2 linked regions of the Cricetulus griseus genome follow. The main gene of each other region encodes a partner of the protein of the gene in region 2 in a complex. Links are inferred from orthologs where the notes say so. Each region holds a gene or a part of one and is shown on either strand. Other genes may lie near its edges.

The links.
Region 1: Chchd3 (region 2) and Apoo share a complex: the UniProt entries of both Homo sapiens proteins name them as parts of the mitochondrial contact site and cristae organizing system (MICOS) complex. The link is inferred for Cricetulus griseus from reciprocal best matches to the Homo sapiens genes CHCHD3 and APOO.

The regions. Positions count from the first base shown.
Region 1 is NC_048604.1:75,617,724-75,622,136, forward strand, and holds the start of Apoo (MICOS complex subunit MIC26), read right to left. Parts: upstream 3,086-4,413; 5' UTR 3,047-3,085; coding exon 2,903-3,046; intron 1-2,902. UniProt on the Homo sapiens protein: Component of the MICOS complex, a large protein complex of the mitochondrial inner membrane that plays crucial roles in the maintenance of crista junctions, inner membrane architecture, and formation of contact sites to the outer membrane.
Region 2 is NW_023276806.1:194,963,293-194,967,107, forward strand, and holds part of Chchd3 (MICOS complex subunit MIC19), read left to right. Parts: intron 1-2,552; coding exon 2,553-2,670; intron 2,671-3,815. UniProt on the Homo sapiens protein: Component of the MICOS complex, a large protein complex of the mitochondrial inner membrane that plays crucial roles in the maintenance of crista junctions, inner membrane architecture, and formation of contact sites to the outer membrane.

The sequences.
Region 1 (4,413 bases), on a different chromosome or scaffold from region 2:
CATTACAATTTGAGGGACTGTGGCTCTCAATTGCTAATACCTGGTATCACAATAAAATTATTCATTCACTGACACATATGGTTTCGTATGTGTTTTATATGGTTTTTACACTTTGTATAATACCAGAGGAGAAAAGTAAACACCAACCCAGCTACAAACCCTGTGATTTACAATGGTGACCTGCCTGCAAGATATGCAGTTGCAATAGTGGCACAAAAGTTGTGGGTGTAAAAAAAAAGTTGTGGGTGTAACCAACCAACATCACAGATGATTCCTCCTACAACAGATGAGAACACACGAACGTGCGTTCAGCTTGATGGGCGAGAGGGTGGCCCCCTTTCCAGTCATACCCCATTTCCCAGGACAAATGGCTCTCCGCACCAGTCCCTGGTCCAGCTCCCAGCAGGGATGGGGAGCCGGCTATCTGGGACCAACCGAGGCTCCTTTGGCGCTGCCATATCATTCCAGCAGTCAGGATTCTGACTTAGAAGCGGTCAGTCATAATCCCACAGATGGTAGCTTTGCCCCATTGGCTCCTCAGCCAAGCACATACACCATAAAATGGGACAATATTCAGAGAGTGACAGACCTTGGAACACTCAGTCTTAAATGGGACATCTCCCTCAAATCCCTCCCCTCAGGGCTCAGGGAACCCTGTGGAAGAGGAGGAGGAAATATTGTTACAGCCAAAGAGGACAAAGGACACCAAGGAAACAAGGCTTTCTAAACACAGCATAACGGACACACATATGAACTCACAGAGACTGTAGCATCTTGCACAGGGCCTGCATGGGTCTGTACCAGATGGGGGCCCAGCACTGAGAGAAGTGGACCCAGGTTCCATTCCCAGAACCCAAAGGACATCTGACAACCATCTGTAACTCCAGTTCCAAGGGATTATATGCCCTCTTCTGGCCTCTGTGGACACCAGACATACATGCAGGCAAAACACTAATACACAGAAGAATTAAAACTAAAAAAAAATGTTCAGCCGGGCGTTGGTGGCGCATGCCTTTAATCCCAGCACTCGGGAGGCAGAGGTAGGCAGATCTCTGTAAGTTCGAGACCAGCCTGGTCTACAAGAGCTAGTTCCAGGACAGCCTTCAAAGCCACAGAGAAACCCTGTCCCGGAAAAAAAAGAAAATGTTTAACACATCTAAAGACACAAAGAACCCCCCTGCAATTTCCAAAACATACCCAAAGGGGTGGTATCAGTCAGTTGAGAACCACTGTTCTACAATCACATCCTTTTCCTTCTCTCTTTCTCCCCCCCCCCCCCGTTAAAAAAAAAACTTGTCTGAGTCATCAATCTGTGCTAATCTTTCATTTCTATCAATAAACTTACATGTATGAAGATTGTGAAAGATTTTTCAAAGAGTCCAAGTCAATGAACATGTTCACAGACTTATATGAATATACCTGACATGAGCATTGCTGGTTGCAGATTCAGTTTCCATTATACCTCTTCCTTCCTAAAGAACCCCACTGTGCTCATGAAACCATTCCTTTTCCATATGGTAAGCAAAGTGAATCTGTTTGACTGAAGCTAATCAGAGCCCAATATTCCCCTGATAACTGCTATTGGGCTAGGAACAGACACCTGACCCACGTTGGTTCAATCAGACCTGAAGGAAAAACATAATCCAAGCATGGGAGTTTTATCCTCTCCTCTTCTCCTAGTGAATGGCAAAGTAATGTTACTGCCACTCATCTTGTAACTGTAAGGAAAACCAACAATACCATAGTAAACCCAGAAGAGCCAGGTCTTTGATGACAATGAGCCAACAAATCAATGAGTTCAGTGTCCATCCTTCCTCTGGGTTTAGTGAGATAATTCTCCTCAGTATTTTACAATTGAGATTTTTGTTACCCTAATTTCACCAATAGAAAAAAAGTCACAGAGCAGTTAAGTGACATGCCCATTATCACATAGCTAGAAACCGGCAGCAATGGAAGGCAGAAACCATGATCTGATTTGGCAGCCGTTATTAATGCACCCCAAACACTGCAGCTGCAGGAAACTCTTAAATGGGTAGCAGAATTTTGAGATTTTATTAGCACTATTCTGTAAATATTATGTTTCTTGGAGAGTTGATTTTATAGATTTCTGGATGCGTGTGGGGTTTTGGGGGGTTTGTTTTGTTTTGTTTTGGAAAGGGTCTCTTTATGTAGGCCTGGAAATCGCTATGTAAACCAGGCTGGCCCGAACTCACCTGCCTCCACCTCCTAAGTGCTGGGGTTAAAGGCATGTGCAGCCTGTAATTTTTTGAATGACAAAATATAACTGACTTTTAAGAAAGAATAACTTTGGCCGGGCGTTGGTGGCGCATGCCTTTAATCCCAGCACTCGGGAGGCAGAGGCAGGCGGATCTCTGTGAGTTCGAGAACCAGCCTGGTCTACAAGAGCTAGTTCCAGGACAACCTCCAAAGCCACAGAGAAACCCTGTCTCGAAAAAAAAAATAAAAAAAGAAAGAATAACTTTATGATAAAATTTAGGTTTTTCGAAGTCTTCACTGTAAATGTCTATCTTACGGAGGACAGGAGTTCAAATGAAAAAACCCGTAAGGGAGGGGATAAGGATAAGAGTCGACTTTTCCACACTAACGCTCACCAGAGAGGAAGTTCCAGCTTTCCTCAAAGCAGCCTCTCCCTCACCAACCTCCCCGACATCCTCCGAAGCTGACCCTCCCCCCACCCACAAGTGCGGTTCGGAAACCTGATCCTGCCAAGCAACCAAAGCCACGAACGCTGCAGTGCCGGGACCTGGCCTCATCCTACCTACTACCCCAAAAGGGCATTAGCCGAGGAAATGGGTACTATAGCTGCGTCTTAAGTTTTCAAAGTGTTTCATTCCCCTGAGAACTACTCGAGGGCCGATCCCACCCATCTAGGGTTCCATGCCTCAGTCTCACAGGTGCTGGTACCAAGCAGTGAATGAATCGCTGTGACAGGACTTAGCCAGCCCGGAGGTGGGCAAAGCCTTGGGGACACCCGAGTCTGATCCTCAAAGAAGGCCCACGGGAGTGTGGGAAGGGACCCCGGCATCTGAGAGGGGGCGATGACAACTGTGACCCGGCTCCAAGCTCTCACCTTGAACATGTCGCTGGCAGCCGTGGCTCCGGCAGGGTCACCCCTCCCTTGGCCCCGCCCACTGAGAAAAGCGACTACGGTGGCCGGCTTAGATCCTAATTCCCTTGACCGCGAGCAGGTTGTGGTGCACGAGATGGTGATGCTCCCCCGCCCAACTCAACCCGCCAAAAGCTCAAGGCAACCGCTAGGTGGCGCATTGCGTTGCTTAGCAACGGAGAGGGGCCCGCGCGCGGGAGCCTGATGAACCCAAGCCCCGCCTTCTTGTTGGCCCTGTTTCCTCGCCGGCTGTTGCTAGGCGGCAAAAGGCGGCAGCTCCGTGTGGGCGGCAAGTTGTGGTAAGAAGGGGGAGGCTCCTTGGCACCCTGCTGCGCGGAGAACCGGCTTCGCCTCCACCACTGGGCGCCTAGCTGTGCGGATGGGAATCCTGTAAGCCGAGGTAGCCAGGCGGTGGCGCCCGACGGTCCTGGGGTGGCCGCACCAGCCTCTTAGGGAGAAGCCGCGATCGATCGTGGGGCTTCGGTTTACCTCACAAAAGGTTTTTTCCTTAAAGAATTTACCGTATGCTGAATGTTGCTTAAATTTTATGTAATAGTAAATGCACCGCGTCATTTAGTCGCGAAAACTGTCCTTTTTTTTAAGAAAAGTACTAAAGCGTAAATCTGAGAATCAAATATTTGTCCCATTTATTAATTGTAGAAGTAAAATGACAGTATTTAACTATTCGCCAGAAAAAAAGCAAGCTTTAACACTGGTTTAAATGCGTAATTTTATTGCTCCGACACAAGTGGATGGGCATGGTTCTCATTGCCTAGTGTCCAAAACTGCGGAAAATCTAAAGCTAGGATCCAATTCAAGGTAGTCTGCCTTTGAAATCTCTGCGCTAGCTTGGGCAAACGCTAGCGCGTCCCGTAGAGACGGTGTATTTCGTATTTCGTCCTGTATTTCTTGTCCTAATTCAACAGAAGATGGAAGCCACATAGGCATCCTGAAGATCTGGAGATTTGTTCGGTAAAAGGTCACTGTCCTCTTATCCTAGAAACACACCTGTCCTTAAATTAGGTGTGTGGGGTTTTTTTAGTTTGCTGCGAGAAAAAGCAACAAAAATGCCCATCTAGGGCAAACTGGAGCATTTCAGTAAAAAAATGTTAAGTTTGTCATAGTATTTAACCTTTGGCTTAGTGACTTGTGGTTAAGGTTTTTTCTTTTTAAGCAGAACTTGTAGGTGTTAGCAACCTTCAGGGAAGGGAAAACGGTAAGGTTCAGCCAGACCAACTCCCAAATGTTAAGGGCAGCTCTTTCCTTCTCAACAGAACTGTACGTTC
Region 2 (3,815 bases):
GGCACATTGGAGCAGAGCAAGGGGGAGGGGAGCAGATGCGTAGAGGACCTAGCGGAGTGCCTGCCATGCTTCCATGGACGCCTGACTCCCCAGTGAGGGCGATTGCTATTATTCCTTTGAGTTACTGACATTTGTAGCTCTGTTTATGAACTGCTCAGGGCAGTTAGCTGCTGTTTACTTGGGTGGTGGGTGCATCTCCTTGGCTTGGACCTGGAATCCACAAGCAGGCTAGTCTGTTTCTTTAAATGTTGAAGACTTTCATGCTAGTATGTTTGCTTCCTTGCTTTCACTTCCCAGTGGTACATGATCCTCTGAGTTAAACCACGTATATCTCTACTTGTAATTAAACTTAAGGTATATATGACTAAATTCAACTAGAAAAATACTCATGATTAAAATATTTTAAAACTGGCTATACCAACAGAATGGTAAAATGTAATTCTATAGATTCGTGGTCCATGTCCATGAATCTGTATCATTTTTGAATATAAATGAACATGCATGTATGTCTGCGCATCTGAAATGCCTGCTATGTAGCAGGTGATCCCTAAGTGATAACAGTGCTGTTACTTTATTTCAGTTTTCACTCACCATGTAAAATCGGCAACTTTTTAAAAATGTGTAGCAATATTCCCATTAAAGTGCTTTAAATGCATAGTTTTGCAATCTGGTTGGATAACCTTAGCCGTTATCAGTGTTCTCATGTGGACCACTCCATTTTTATGTTGCTTCCCTTTGATATCTCTCCGGGATGTATTTAAGTATCGAGCTGTGGCTTTCCAACTCCAGCATGCATCAGAATCACCTGGGGGTGGCACATTAAAAGGCATTTTGCTGGTTCCTCTTCTGTGGGTTCCTGATGCCTAGATGTGAGGTGCTGCTAGGAATCTGCACTCCTGCAGCCCCCCAGCTGCACCTGCTGCTGTGTGGACCCACCCTGAGCACCTGGTCCAGGAGGCAGTGTGGCTGATGCCATGTTGTATGGTTTTTATGAAATATTTTTAGAGACCCTTGCTTTGCCTACATGCCATTGTACTTATGGCTTAGAAAGTCTCTTAGGTTTCTTCATGGAATGAGTGTATTTCTGTTGTTCTTTCTTCAAGAACGACTAACTATACATGTTTACCCTCTAGGGGGAAGGCATAAGTTTGGAATGTATTTTACAGGATAATTTTATGTTTTATAATTTACTTCTAAGAACTCCATGCTATCAGGAAGGTGTGAGGGTTTAAAACACTAACAAGAATTTTATGTTCTCTACTTCTTTTCAAGGGTCTTTTTGATAGACTAGCACCAAGTAAAATTTAGCACTCATCATTCACACTCAGACAACTTCACTCAGAATGTCACCAACATAACAGTTTCACCTCCTTTTAAAGCATAGCTTACATCTTTGGAGATATGATGGTCTAGAAGGGTTATTCTTTCAAAAGAGAAAAGGCAATCAGAAATCTTTGTCCATGAGATTACACTGAAATGTTCTTTCATTTAGTGCTTCTGAGTGCTTGTCTGTGCAAGGTATTATGGCAAAAGCCAGTGCCAAAGTCATTTGTCTTTATCACATACGAGGGGATTTTAGTAGATTGTAACTTAATATGGACCTAATTGTGTGACAAAGCTATGGATCACCTTAATGCAATTGTAGGCTTCATTAACAGGATTAGTAGTATGCGCATCTGGGCACTGCTGCTGCTATCTTGTTTCACTAGACCCAGTTTGGAGTGTAAGCTGTTAACTGGCATTGAGGGAGGTGGAGCCTGCCATTAAGTCTGTGCTATATTTGCATATCCTGATTGTAGGAAGGTGGTGTGATGCACTGGGTGGAGAGACTTGTATGTGTTGGTAGTTAGCCTCTATAGGGTTAAGAAACCAGGGAATCTCAACACCTTGTCCACTACAGTGTCCTCTGTGCTTAACATGGGGCCTAACTCACTCATATTCAGTAAATAAGTGGGTCAAAAACATGGCTGGATGATTGTGTGCATGTGCCCGTGTGCACGGAGAGTAGAGATCTAACTCAGCTGTGGTTCTCAGGAGCACTGTCTACCTTGGTATTTGACTGTCCTCTTCCTGGGACCTAGGACTCACTGGTGGGCTAGGCTGGCCAGCCAGCGGGCTCCAGGATTCCAAGTGTGGGATTCCTGGAGAGGATGCTTGGGTCCTCTTGCCGTGTTCCAAGCTCTTTACTTACTGAGGTCTGCTGGAGGTCCCAGGGATGGGACTTTTTGGTGAGAAGTTTTCAGTTTTACCTGAGGACTTTGTTAAACTTGGACACTTTGTCAGCTGAATCAGTAACTTCTCATTTTGGAATTCTGTTGTTTTAAATGTGTGGGTCGAGGCTGTGTATGGTTTTTGGTAGACTATGGGCCAAGATGATTTCAGCTTTTGAATAATGACTGTATGTTTCTTTATATTTTCAGTTATTTAATTTAACATAAAGTAATGTCAACCAACAAAGTAATTTTCTAACTTGATTATGAAATAATCTAAAATAATTATAGTACTTAAAATAATTAAAATTAAAATATTATTACCTTTACTTATCTTTTCAGCCTTAAGCAAGCCAGGGACCTAGAACGAGAGAGGGCTGCAGCCAATGAGCAGCTCACCAGAGCTATCCTTCGGGAAAGGATATCCAGTGAGGAGGAGCGCTCCAAGGCAAAGCATCTGGTAAGTGCCCCCCTCCCCCCCCCTTTAACGCTAGCCTTGCCCTCCAGGACAGCCATGAGGTCAGCAAAGCAAAGCACTTAGTGCCACCTGTTAGTGTTGGTAACAGTAACATTTCCTTGGTCAGGCAGGACTTTGAGTTGCATGTATTACAGGTGGCTGCTAGAAGACTGGCCTCCAGGATGTTAAGGGAGGTAACTAAAGAAGTGTTGAAGTCAGGACCAACACACAGTCACATGCCCAGGTTCCACCTGGGGAGATGCTGCTTGTTTGTTTTCCACCCATGGCTCTGTTGTCTCCATAGCACTGGGGCCAGCAGCCTGGCCTCTTTCTTTTCCTGGGCAGCCTCCAGATGCCCAACTGAGCAACTTCCAGAATATCAGTCACTCTCTAGACCTTAGAAAGGGGGAAAGTCAGCAAGGGTCTTGGAGAATGAACTTTTAAAAGAGAACCAGAAGTTTCTTCAGTAAAATACTTTTTAATTTTAAAGACTGAATATGTATTTTTTTTCTGAATAAGTACTTTAAAATAAAAGATTAACAAAGTTTGAAAGTCACTATATCTTTTTCTGGCATGATCATGGTTCACACAGGGGTGTGTTTCACTCTGTAATGTTTTTCCGCAAGATCTCTTATTTATCATTTAGAGTTTGCATAAATGCTATATGTATGTAAATATATCTGTAGATCACAGAACATTTTTCTGAAATGTAGTTTCTCATGATGCATAGTATCTTCTGTATCCCTACCACTTATTAAGCAGATTTTCCACTGTCAGATAAAACTGGAGCTTTTCTGGTTCAAGCCTCTAGCCTGGACTGCTCAGTCTCTACTTCCTCCTAGAAATGCAGATGAAACACTGAGGGCCCTTGGTACTCACTGGAACACATAGAGAAGCGAGCCAGTGAGGCTGAACACAAGGCCTTACATGGAGGATTTGAATGTCACAATTCTTACCGAGCAAGTATCTGCTCTCTTCCTAGTGTCTGTCTGACTGTCTGTCTGTCTGTCTGTCTGTCTGTCTGTCTGTCTGTCTGTTTCTGCTTTGCCGTTTGCCCACACAATTGTTAATGTTAGGATGATTGGCATTTTGTTCTTTCACTTTCTTTTTAAATGACTGACGTTCCTACTTATCCACGGTGATGGGGT